3 linked regions of the Drosophila melanogaster genome follow. The protein of the gene in region 1 interacts with the protein of each later gene in a pairwise test. Each region holds a gene or a part of one and is shown on either strand. Other genes may lie near its edges.

Evidence for each region. The genes of interacting proteins can lie anywhere in the genome.
Region 2: the proteins of CG31802 (region 1) and RhoGAP19D interact in a two-hybrid assay, tested with the Drosophila melanogaster proteins (one large-scale study listed by BioGRID).
Region 3: the proteins of CG31802 (region 1) and Noc2 interact in a two-hybrid assay, tested with the Drosophila melanogaster proteins (one large-scale study listed by BioGRID).

Annotation. Positions count from the first base shown.
Region 1 is NT_033779.5:18,207,838-18,211,199, forward strand, and holds CG31802 (uncharacterized protein), read right to left. Parts: upstream 1,401-3,362; 5' UTR 1,312-1,400; coding exon 751-1,311; 3' UTR 578-750; downstream 1-577. Other genes in the region: CG42750 (uncharacterized protein), read right to left, coding at 1,932-2,311, 2,720-3,023.
Region 2 is NC_004354.4:20,507,648-20,512,543, forward strand, and holds the start of RhoGAP19D (Rho GTPase activating protein at 19D), read right to left. Parts: upstream 3,048-4,896; 5' UTR 2,872-3,047; intron 1,821-2,871; 5' UTR 1,719-1,820; intron 1-1,718. Other genes in the region: CG1812 (uncharacterized protein), read left to right, coding at 4,261-4,440.
Region 3 is NT_033779.5:21,161,840-21,166,637, forward strand, and holds Noc2 (nucleolar complex protein 2), read left to right. Parts: upstream 1-1,801; 5' UTR 1,802-1,839; coding exon 1,840-2,865; intron 2,866-2,924; coding exon 2,925-4,199; 3' UTR 4,200-4,251; downstream 4,252-4,798. Other genes in the region: Nbr (nibbler), read right to left, coding at 1-338, 394-1,163; CG43346 (uncharacterized protein), read right to left, coding at 4,261-4,713.

The DNA.
Region 1 (3,362 bases):
AGTTAAATGTAACGCATAGCGTAAATAAAACCCTAAAAACGATGCTACTAAATTATGTTTGCCGTTTGAACAACGAACCGAAGACACAGAGTTAAGAGTGAATAAGGCACAGAAACGGGGACAGGCAAAGATGGGAAATGGAAAAGCTCTTCCGGCAGTTGGAAAAGCGCCCACGCATGCCACCAAATTGCAGCCACAATTTGCTGCAACGAACTCAACTGAAAACTGAAAACCGAAAGTGGAGCAGGCCCATGGAAAAGCATACATCAAATGTGTCAAAGAGATTTGTTATGCATGACAGAGGCCTGTGACAGCAAACTCGCCCAAGTATCAAAAACAAGGACTATGAGATTCCCAGCGATCTGAAATTGTTTTATTTCAAAAATTTCATAGAGTACGAAATACATAACTTTAAAAGAATTCGTAATGATAAACCGAAAATTAACTATCCGTAATTTGTGCTCATTACTATACTCTGGTTTTTATTGTTATGCAATATTTAACTAAAAACATAGAACCCATTTAGATTCCCAAAAATATGGGTTCAAGAAGATTGAATATCAAAAATATCAAAAATAATTCAATGCGAAGCTTTATTGAACCGAAGCATATCCAAACTTCTTCACTGTAATGGGTTTCGAGTCAGATTGATGTGTCTGTCTGAAAAATGAGTAAATCTATATGGGTTATATACAACGTCGTTTCCCGTTTACACAAATGAATTGCGGAATAAATTTAAACGTAATGCAACTAGATGAGATTGGTTTTCTTGATAAGGTTGAGAAACTCCTCCTTGCTAACCTCACCATCACCGGAAACGTTGGCTTCGTCGATCATCTCCTGCAGTTCCTCGTCGGTGAGCTGTTCGCCCAGCTCCTTGGCCACGCGTTTCAAGTTGAGGAAGGATATGCCGCCGGTGCGATCGTCATCGAAGAAGGAAAAGGCCTTCATCATATCCTGATTAGAGTCCTTTTCCGCCATCTTCAGGCGCATCAGATATAGAAAATCGTTAAAGGCAATCCTTCCCGTCTTGTCCTTATCGATTTCGTCCATCATACGCTTTATATCCTCTTTCTTCGGCTCGAATCCCAGGGCACGAATGGCCACGCGAAGCTCCTTGGTTTCGATAAAGCCCGTGCACTGGGTGTCGAACAAATCGAAGGCTTTCTTAATGTCCACCTTCTGGCTTAGCGACAGGTCAAAGGTCGGCAGTTTGGGCTTTTTCGATTTTTTAGCCCTGCTTGAGATCGATGCACTCGAATGCATTACACTGGCGGAGGACACCATACTACCAAGTCGTTTGCCGGACATGATGATCTTATCGGCTTTTTGATGTGGGAGTCGGTAGGAATATCGATTGTTTGAGATCTGCTCTCTTGGAATGTGAACGTATACTGTGTAGAAATCGGGCGGGCTGTTCGAACTGGCCGACAGTTGGGGACTTGACCTACTCGGTTACGATAGTTTTGGGCTTGACTTTGAAGGAATTTACATTCTAAAGTCACAAAGCTGCCGAAAAAGCACTTAAATGGTCAAATGGGAGTATATTTAATTCTAAAAAAACATATCAAGGTATTGTATTGGATTATCTCTGAAATTTATCGACCCGAAGTGCTGGCTCACAGCATTTGCCATAACAATCAAAATTCATGTGTGCCCTAATACTTGGCGAACTTGAAGTCTCCTCCATTCCCCTCGCGATTCGAAGACAGCTTGGTGGCCTGAGCCCGAGCCCCAAGAGTCAGTGGGTGTGGCAGGTGTCAGTCACTCGGTCGTCAGACTACAACATCCACCTCCTACGTGCCACGCTCTGTTTGGTTAGCGCATTTGCCTGTTGCAAAACTCTGTCTGTATTTCTGGTGGAGGCACGTGCCGTTGGCTGCTCATGACTACAATTACAATTACACAAAGTGTAGCGGGGTTTCACTCACCTGGGGGTCTCCGGCTCCTCCTGTTCCTCCTCCAGATCCCATTCCCAATCCCACTCCCAGTCCGATTCCCAATCCCGTTTCCATCCCAGTCAGCGATAATTTACGATTACGCTCGCGCTCCAGTCTCATAAGTATCTGCGCATTCTGCTCGCAGGAGTAGGTGTGTGTCTTACGCTTTCGTTCCAGACTGTACTCGTACAGCGGCCTTGCCGCATTCGGTTGCAAATCCAGTTGGGCCTCGTCGCCGGCATCGCAGCTGCACAGGGACTGATTGGAGCGGCCCTTGCTCCGCTTCAGGGATCCGCGGTTCGACGACGAGGGCGTCAGGCGTTGTTCACTTACAAAATTCGAGAAGGTTACCACATTGCCAGAGGAACCTACTGGAAGATAGAAAAAAAAGTTGTTTAGCTTCCATTTAAAGTTCTAGTCCTGTCCGTCTACCACATTCTAGTAATGTGCGCTCAACTACTCTTAGCAGCAGAGGCGCTAATTGTTTACTCTACGAGTTACAGAAGAAATATACAATTAAATTTCTTTTCTAACAGAATCTTGTATAATATGTTATTAAGCTATTTAAATTTTGTCTGAAGTGCCGCATAAAAATAATTTATTATTATTTATAGCGTATTGTACATGCAAGTATAAGTACTGAATGCGCTGGTAGTAATATCTTAATTAGAGTTGTTAAGTTCTGACACTTATTTGCTTAATGAGCAAGCTGGGAAAACTTTTATATGATTGACTGATGGGCCTGGCGTTTATTTACCCCTCAGAAGGGTGCTACTCACCTGAAGTGGCTCCTTTTCGCTTGGATGGTGAGACGTAGAAGATGTCGTGCTCATCGAACTCAACGCTCCGCTGACTTGTTATGCCGACACCACCGTTCAGGCCACCCAGACCGCCCAAACCGCCGGCACCACCAAGTGCTGTGGTGGCCGTGGCCGTACTACTGCTGGTGGTGCTGGCCGCACTGTTGCCACCGCTGCTGAGGTTGCAGCCGTGATCCGCCAGGGCGTGCAGCATCGGATGCACCTGTCGATCTCTCAGGGAGTGCTGCTTGTGCAGGCCATTAGTTCGTCTTAGCTCCGTCATCGTCCTGATTTCACTCTGCGCTTCTTTTTTATTCCCGGAGCCGGCTTATTGTCATCACTCCTGCGCTCATGAAATATTCATGCCACACGACTTCAAGTCCTTCGCGACTGGGGCATTAGCATATCACTTTGATTTGAAACGGTCTTGCTTGCTATATTCTTAATTTTAAATTTGCCCTCTTGCTGGCTAAGCCGGCTAACGGTTTCCTTGTGTCAATACAGCAGATTCGCAATCCGATTTGCCAGCTAACTGTTTCAATTCTGGCCCGCGCCCCTTGCGTTCTTGGCCCTCTCATTGCCAGCTTTTTCGACTTTCTTCCTTTTTTGACTGCTTACATTC
Region 2 (4,896 bases), on another chromosome or scaffold:
AAACAAAAACAAAAGCAGCAGCAACAGCAATGAGCACACGAAAAGAGTCAACAAAAATATTGTAATAAAAAAGAAGGTTAATCAAGCGGCTTGGCTGCGAACCGAGTTCGTTTCCCCCACTTTGGGTTAAGGCGGCTCGTGCTCGGGCCGCTGCCAATAGGCTTAGAGTTGAGGCAGAAGGTGAAGACAGCGGTTCCCAGGCCCCCAGCCACGTCCCTACACTGAGAGAAAGGGCTGGGCCACTTTACTTCGCATTACAAATAAGAGGAGGTGAGATGGCGAGAAAGGTTTAGATTACGATTGCCAAGTCTCAATATAGTTATTTAAATGAATCGCATATATTTTTTGAAGTTCTATGCTTAGTTTTTTTTTTTTTTAATAATAATTAAACACGTCCGAACTCGATTTCCTTTCAGTTTCGAGCTCGAGATTTTAAAGAACCCCATTGGAACCCTATTTTTTAGCAAATAAGTGAGCAAAGTTCATAGAGCATTTGTTTCTGCGCGTGTAACTTCAAGGTTTTATGTAATTTTAGTTTGTTGCTGTTTTTTTTTTACTCGCCCCTTTGGTTTTTTTTTTTTTACTTTTGCTTCTTGCGTGTTGACCAAGACACAAAAAAAAAATTGGAAAACAAAATACAAAATAACATTAGCCCATGGAGAGGCAATAACAGTAACAGTAACCAAAGTCCGGCGCATAAAGTTGAGTTTTCTTACAATTCGTGATTCGGTCCGAGTTCGAGCTCGGGCTGGAAATGCCCGTTATTATTGGCCGGCATTCGCAGGGGGCAGAAACACGTAATGGATTTAACTATTGTTGCAATAATTGCCAATTGGGCAACGTAATTCTTTGCTCATTATACATAATTATCTATTGACTTTTACCATTTGCAGCAGAGGTGCGTGTGCTCCGATTGTTCATGTCTTTATTTGCCCATTGTCCTCAAGTTAGGGGCAATGTCAACGAAGTTAAGTGGCAAAATAGTAAAACAGTAGAGGAAATGGGTAAAAAGTTGGCCGAAAGTGCCCGATAATTCCACTGCGAAATGGGAAATTTTAAACCAGCTGAGTATTGATTGCAAATTACGGAGGTTTCACGAAAATTATCCTGCAATTTTTAAGTGGGCGCTATATGGCAATATCGTTATAGCCAGCAAATACTGCGGTAATTTGGGAATAATTTCAGAAATTAAGTAATTTATTCCTGTTGATTACTTTTTTTAATATTCTTTAATATTCTTCAATGTGACAGGGGTTTTAAAGTTCGAAAAAGGTTAAATCCCTTCAAACGCAATCGTTTGACTGTTAAGGGCTACAATTCTTGTAAATGAAAATTTATTGCACTTATTTATCAAAAAATAAAAAATAATTCAGAAGTTTTAAGAATGAACACATTTTTTTATTCGCCTAATTTCTTGCGTTGTCTCTGTGAATTCTGCAGAAGAATTCTCCGCAGAGAGGAAATGAGAGAAAGAGGTCCAGTAGAAGAGAGAAGGGAGTCTGGTGGTACGTAAACAAAAAAAAAACCTAAAAAGCAGGAAGACAACTTTCGCTGCTGGCATACAACGGAAAATGGAAGACGTGAAAGATGGGAACAGAGCAAGAGAGCAATAAAGAGAGTGCACAAAATGGGCCGAAAAGTGCCGATTCTTCAATTGTTATACTGTTTAGATTTACACAACATTTTTATAAAATAAACAAAAAGCCTATGATACTTACCAAAAACCAGGAAGATTTTCTTCTCCCTTTCTGACGATTTTCTTTTAAACTTTTTTGTTGCTTCCTTTTTGTATATTTATGATTTCGTTTTAATTTTGCAAACTAGAAAAAACACAACAAAAACGGTGTGGAGCTGATAAGGCGATTTATTGTTTGTTTATTTAAGGACATTCCTCAATTCTTTCCCATTCTTTCCTCTCTTTTCTTTTCCTTCTTCTTCTTATCAATGAAATGTGAGTCAGTGGCAGCCAAAAAATCAGCAGTAACGGTCAAAATAATAGCACTTCAAAGGGCATTCTACCGTTAACTACCGATAACTCAAGAAAAGTAGAAAGGAGTGCACTCTTTTACTTTCGTGACATAAGATTGATTATTTTACTTTAAAGATACTAAAATGTTTGTTATTTTTAACAAATTTTAATTGTCAGTAAACGCGATGCTATTGATACTATTATCGTAACCGTAACTGTGTTTTTATGTTTTTTCTTGTGGACTTTTTTGTTTTGCTTTATTTTTTGGGTTCTACATGCTGCCGACGCCGCAGTTGGCGTCGCTGCTGGCAGTTTCCTCATGTGGCGCGCACACACGCACATACCGCACACAAAAACACACTCACACACACCTACACGACTTCATTTCTTTTTCATTTCTTTTCCTTCCTTTCGTAATTGCTCCGCTTTTTTGCTTCTTCTTTAAGGTTGCAGAGTGCGGGAAAGAGAAAGGAAGAAAAAGAAACAGCGCGACAATTTTCATTTGGGCCTGTGCAAAAAAACCACAAATACAGAGTAAAAATCTTTATTTCATGCACGTTGCATTTTGCACTCCAATTGTTGTTGCCGCTTCAGCTTCTGCTTCTTCTTCGCCATTTGACTGTTGCTTTCTTTCGTTGCTTCTGTTGTTGTGGTTGTTGTTTTTGGCGTCGTCGGCGGCGGCGAGCAATAAACTAATTACTTTAACTAGCGAACAACCAAAATGTTTGCCGAATTCGTTGTGTGTTTTTCTTCGCCTTGCATCGATCCTTGTATTTTTTGGAACGCCTTGCACACATTCATCGCTTGCTTTTTACTTTTTTATTACACTTTTCGCCTTTTTCTTTTCACAAAAAAAAAATTTGACGCCACACGTTTGTTGTTGTGGTTGCGCCAGCACTTACGCTGCTTTAATTACTAATGATTCACAATACAATCAAGCGATCGCGCGCGCACCGTCTGCACTTTCGGCCAAATTACAATTAATTAGTTGTGTATTTTACTCTACTTCTTGTTTTACTTGCTCCGCTTTCCACTCGATTTCGTCCGATGTGATTTTCGAGTGACCAGACCAGTCGAGTAGAGGTGGAATACGGCCGATGCCACGCAGGCTATCGATGTTTTCATGCCTGGACGTATGTCGATACTTTGCAGCAGCTTATCGGCTTATGCTGCGATATCACCACTGGACGAAACTTTGGCCATTAGTTAACACTGGAGACTATAGATATTGTGAGAAAAAAAATTAAATACAATTTTTTTACCTGCTAGCCTGCACTTTATTCTGAAATATTTGCAGTGAATAGATACAGCACGCTGAATAAATGTTGGTCCAAGAATGGAACGCGTATTTTTAAGAGTGTATTTGAACTCACCCACACTAATATCATAGTGTATTAATTTAAATATATATTTATATAATATATAATACTTAATTAGATATCTTTTCTCGTATCAAAATTATTTGCGGATCCGAAAAACATTTTCTAACAAGAAACAACTGCCTAACGTGAAATACTTCAATGTCTCTGATAAGATTGACTTTTTTAAAGAAATTAATTAATTATTCTTTTAGTATTAATATTTCTGCCTAAAGTTAACGTAAGCTATCTTACTAAGCTAAACTAAGTAACTAACATAGACTTATTTTGGTGCAAATTTAACAATTTCATTTTTAAATGCTACCATATCAATGTTAAAGGGGAAATTCGCGAGCTTTTGACTTCAAAAGCTAGCATTCTCTTATAAAAACCTTTTAAATTGCATACTCACCCGTCTCCCAATTAAAAGCACCCAGGAATACGGGTATATATATGAAATTTGAAAATATAATTTTAAACGATCGCGCTCCGCAATCGATAGCTAAATGCGCATCACTAGCGGTGCTAGCCGACTTGGCAGTTCAAACGTCAAGAGAAGAAACGTCAAAAACGCGAAAAGTAAAAAGTCGCAAGAGGGAAAAGAAGCAAAGAGGTAGCAACAAGCAAAGAAATCGCACGCGAAACTTTTTTCTCTGCCAGTGTTTAGCAATAATTTAGCTAATTTCGTGCGTATATTTGTCGTAGAACGGTTCATAGTTCGCCAAATAACGGTTTGTAGACAGCTGGCCGCGAGTGTAAACAGAACGTGCTGCCCTCTCGCTCGCACTCGCACTCGCGCACCAGAAGCTCGGTCATCTCAAGAATTTCTTATCAGACGGATTCCCCAACCTTGGGACCACATAGGTTAACATATATATAGGTTAATAGCCCGCTCTAATCTTTGGTCCGTTCCGAGAGAGTACAGCGAACAGCATGGCAGCGACGCCAGCGCCAGCAGTGACGCCGGCAGCGACAGCAACGTCGGCTGCGGCCAAAATTCCTGTGAATCCCGTGTCCCCCGAGGAGGAGACCCTTCTGCGGGGCCTCAACAAGCTGCGCAACGAGGAGAAACTCACGGACGTCACTCTGATCGTCGAGGAGCACCGATTCAAGGTAGGACCCCACCCACACCATTATAGATCCGAGCAATAGCTACATGGAACAGCCCCATCTGTGGATCTGCTTCAGAGATCGTGCCACATCTGTGGGATCAGCTGAGCTACGAGCGGTTACGTCTAGCCTCATGGACACGGCACATCGGCGAAGGCGGATGAAGTTGGGTTGCACAAGTTTGGCTCCCAGAGTGCGCATAGCAAGTATGCATAGATTATCTTTCAGAGCAACTTGGTTGTGATTAGGCTAGGTTAGTTACGACAATACCTTCAATGGCCTGCGCATAGGACAAATAGAAATCGCACTAAACCGGATTGCTCGCATCCTAAACTCGGCGGTTTGGCAGTTTGGCTAGTTGGCCAGTTGGCCATTTGGCCATTTTGCGAGCTCGTGTTAATTATATATCGGAAACCACGAAAGCATAAGGTGACTAGTTATAGGGTTAGAGTGGCAAGT
Region 3 (4,798 bases), 3.0 Mb from region 1:
CGATCTCCAACGGACAATCTTTCGGGTCAATATTGAACTCCGTGTACCAGTAGATGGCTTCAGAATGAGCTCCAGCAGAGGCCAAATACTTTACGAAGTCCGTGCGCAGCTCGTGGTTAAAGGCATGGACGCTCACAACCTCCCGGAAACTGGCCAGGTTCATGCGCGTCTTCTCGTACTCGCGGTAAAGGTAATGCAAGTAGCTGCACGTCTTCGTGAACTTATAGTTGGGCGTGACGGCGTCGTCAAAACCATACTTCTTGGCCAGTCGCGCCACAATCTTGGCCATAGGCCGATAGCTGAGCACGTTATGGGAAATTTTGAGATTTTTGTACCGACTGCAAGTGAAGATAGAATTAGATGAATTGCAAGACCAGTTTTTCAAATACATACTCGAGTAGATGCTCGCAGAGCTCTAAAACCGACTTCTCCTTGTGCAGCAACGAATCCAAGAACTTGACAAAGGGCAACCTCTGCTGTGTGGCATGGTCCAGATATTCCTCGGCCAGTGGTAGTTTCTCAATTGCAATCAGCGGGAAAGCCAGTTCCAGCATGTCGAACTCGTGCGTCAACTGCAGACTGATGGACCATTGGGTGACCTCTTTGTAAAGCCCGTTGTCCAGGAGTTCGCGCAACTTGGGAAGCAGTAGGTCGCGGATCTGACGTAGACTGTAGGCATGGATAACAGCATTGTTGAGGGCCAGCAAGCCGGAGGTCTTGACAAAGTTAAAGGCTATCATGCTGGTGTTGGGATCACAGCCCTCGCCAAGATGCGGGAAATCCTTGTGGAGCTTGCAAACCGTGTCCAGCACAAAATGTGACAAGCTCTTCGTCTTGATGTTGCTGCTGTCTGGGCAGTTGGCGAAGATCTTCAGGGCCAGGAGCAAAGGATCCTGATGGCCCATTAAAGCCCTTCCAAATTCCTGGCGCAGATGTGGCGACTTTTTCTTGCTATACATGTTCCACTTCTCGCGGAACAGCTTAAAAAACTCCTCCGCCTTTGCGTCCAAGGTGGCGTCAAAGTTACAGCCGTCGATTCCAGCACCTGTCGTGATGTCCTCCAAGCGCTTGATCTTCAGGTTGCTCATTAGGTTCTCCATGTTCTCCTCGTCCGACTCAAAGCCGGCGGGTATTGCGTTGTACATGTGGCTCTTGCGTGCCATTTCTCACGGGTTTCCCGTGCCACTGCAGAGCGAAGCAAGTGCAATTGCCAATTGCAAATGCAATTGACGGTAAAGGCGAACAAACTTCGATGGAAATATCGATTTCAAAAACATCGATGTTTCAGTGACCGCCCAAAACAACACCAAACGTCAGCAGAAACCGCCAAAAGTTATAGATTTTTTTAAAGCAAGATTATTTTTTTCGCAGATTAATGCCTTGTTGCTAGAAAGCTATATATATATATATATATATTAATATTAAATATATATTTATAATTAGCAATTTTTTATACAGTGAACAAGGTACATGAAATCCGCCGGTGCAAAATTATTTACAATTTTTACTTTGATTGGAAAATTTATTTATTAAATTTGCTTGGAAATACGGCAATCATTTGTATTGCAGGATTGAAATCCAAAGAACAACTATTTGATAAAAGTCTAGCTAAAATAATAAGTATTATAGTTATTCTAACTGTGTTGCCTTTGAAGTCCAACTGGCAAATGAGTTAATGAGTTTTTATTTTAATTAAATTGTTAAAACTTGCCTATTTTTACTATAGCTGTATTTAGCTCTATTTTCCTAACGCATTGGCAGCACTGCCCACAATTCAGCAGCGTGGCAGCCCCGTTGAACAGCACACGTGCATTTTTGTTTTAGTTTGCACGTTGAAAAATGAAGCTGGCTACGAAAAAAATTAAGACCCTGGGCAAATCCAAGCCTGACCTAAGCAAAAAGAAGCCCGCCAAGGATGCCATCAGGAAGACGAAACCGCAAACAACCTCTGAAACGAAAGTTACTCCAAGAAACCCGAAGCAGAAAGTCGCCGAACCAGTGAAGAATGGGAAGACCACAAAAAAGGGATTTAAGAAATCCCACAAAGAGGAGCTTGAAGGGCTTAAAGATATAGACCCAGAATTTTATGATTTCTTAAAAAATAATGATAAGAAGCTACTGGACTTTAATTTACTGGACACAGATGATGATGATGATGAAGAGGGGGATGAGGAAGACAAGGAAGATACGGTAACTAAGGAAAGTAAGGATGACGAGGATGACGAAGAGAAGTACCACAAACCCAGCAAGGATTTGGAGGTGGCTAGCGATGAGAGTGACTTTGAGGTCGACGAAGAGGACGATGCGGCAGCTGGAGGTATCCAAAAGATCACCCTCAACCTGTTGCATCAGTGGGAACAGCAATTGGGCCAGGCCAACATATCTATTGACATTGTCCGCAAGGTTATCCAGGCTTTCAATTCAGCTCTGGCTAGTATCTCTGCCGACGGAGCGGACGGAGGAGAGAACAAGCATAATGCTGCCGCATTTAAGGTAGTGGGGGCAGCTGCGTTTAATGGAGTAATTCAGCTCTGCGTAATCCACCTGCAGCCCGCTATAATTCGATTGCTGGGCGTTAGACCCAACAGCAGCCTACCGCTGCACAAGCACAAGAAGTGGGTCAAGGTGCGAGGCTGTTTGCGCTACTACCTCACCGATTTGATTCGTCTGGTGGAGCAGGTGTCCAGTCCAAATATCTTGGGCGTGTTGCTGAAGCATTTGCATCAAATGGCCGGCATGGTGGTTCCCTTTTCGGCACTTGGAAAGACCATATTAAAGCGTCTGGTTGTCTTATGGTCCACTGGAGATGAAACAGTTCGTGTTCTGGCCTTTCTCTGCATTCTGAAGATAACCAGGAAACAGCAGGTAAATATTCTGAACTAGACACTTATTGTGACCCCTGCTAACACCAATGGTTCTTGCAGGCGACCATGCTGAATCACGTTCTAAAAGCCATGTACCTGGCCTATGTACGCAATTCCAAGTTCGTGTCGCCGAACACTTTACCAGGAATCAACTTTATGCGCCGCTCGCTGGTGGAGATGTTCGCGTTGGATTTAAACGTCAGTTATCAACATGTCTTCCTCTACATCCGACAGTTGGCCATTCACCTGCGAAATGCAGTGATCCTTAAGAAAAAGGACAGTTTCCAAGCGGTTTACAACTGGCAATTTATTAACTCGCTGCGCTTGTGGGCAGATCTCCTGGGAGCAAGTGCGAACAAACCACAGTTGCAGCCTCTGATTTATCCCCTTGTTACCATTGCCACCGGAGTGATTCGACTGATACCCACCGCTCAATACTTCCCATTGCGATTCCACTGTCTGCAGACCCTAATTTCACTGGCCAAAGAGACAAACACATATGTGCCGGTGCTTCCACTCATTGTGGAGGTATTAAAGAGCAATACCTTTAACCGCAAGCACTCGGCGGTATCCATGAAGCCAGTGCAGTTTACCTGCGTCCTTAGGCTTAACAAAGGGCAGTTGGCGGAAAATGGCTTCCGCGATGAGGTGATCGAGCAGGTGTGTGGGCTTCTGTTGGAATATCTCGCTCATGAGTCCACCTCGCTGGCCTTTAGTGATTTGGTGGTGCCCACTGTCATGGCCATCAAAACGTACCTTAAGGAATGCAGGAATGCCAATTATGCTCGAAAACTTAAACAGCTGCTAGAGAAGATTCAGGAGAGTGCCCGCTTCATAGAGCAGCAACGTGGCAAGAGCAGTGTCACTTTTGACATAAAGGATGCGCAGGCGGTCGCCGCCTGGGAGCAGCAACTCCGTCTTAAGCGCACTCCACTAGACGTCTACTATGCCAGCTGGCTAAAGACACACGAGACCAAGAAGCGACGACAGGCAGCACATACAGATGAAATCAATGCGGACTATGATGTGCCCAAGCTAAAGAAACTACCGGTCAAAACCGGAGTACCAGTGAGAAATGAAAACGGCGAGGTCGAACTCTTCCCCTCGGACTCGGAAGATGAAGGCGATGATGGCCTGCATTTGGGATCAGATGATGATGACGACGAGGATGTACAGGAGGAGGAGGAGGTGGAAGTTGAGCACCCTAAAGCCAAAAAGGCGAAGAAAGAGAAGCCCGAGAAACAAAAACCTCGGCCAGCAACAGTGGAAGATGATTACGACGAGGCGGGTGGAGCCGTGGATATTGTTAAGGACTTAGATTTGAACGAATGGTAAAACATTTAAGATCAATTTAACTATATTTACACATTAAATTAAAAGGAAAACCAATATAGAGTTACTTCTCCGGTGGCTCCTTGCCAGGAATAAACTCATACTCCTTGTATTTGGGAAAGGTTCCAATAGTTGGTCCGTCCACCTGCTTGGGCAGTGCCTTGTCGTCCTTGCCCTTGGCGTATGTTGCTTCCAATTCGGCGGCGTTGCGTTTCTTCATGTCCATAATCTGAAGATTTTTCACCAGCTCTTCGCGGGTGGGCGGCTCCTCCCGGCGCCCTCGTAGCCACGCCTCCCATTCGGCAGTCAGCTCCTGGTCGAAGGCTTCCTTATCCGCTGGCTCGAACCACCGGGAAGGCTTCCTCTTTCCAATCGAAGGATTTGCAGGAATTTCGTAGTACTTATTCCCGAAATAGTCCTCCCCAATGTAATCCCCACGAAACTGCCGCGGTCGTAGGGACTTCCAAAAGTTCTTGAAGATGATGCCGATCACATCGCGCGTCGGCTTGTTAGCCATGCTTATTTTAACTTAAGAGCGAGGAACTTAAATTTATTTTAGAATTTGAGGTTAGGTCTTGCGTTTGTTATGACATGAACAGCTG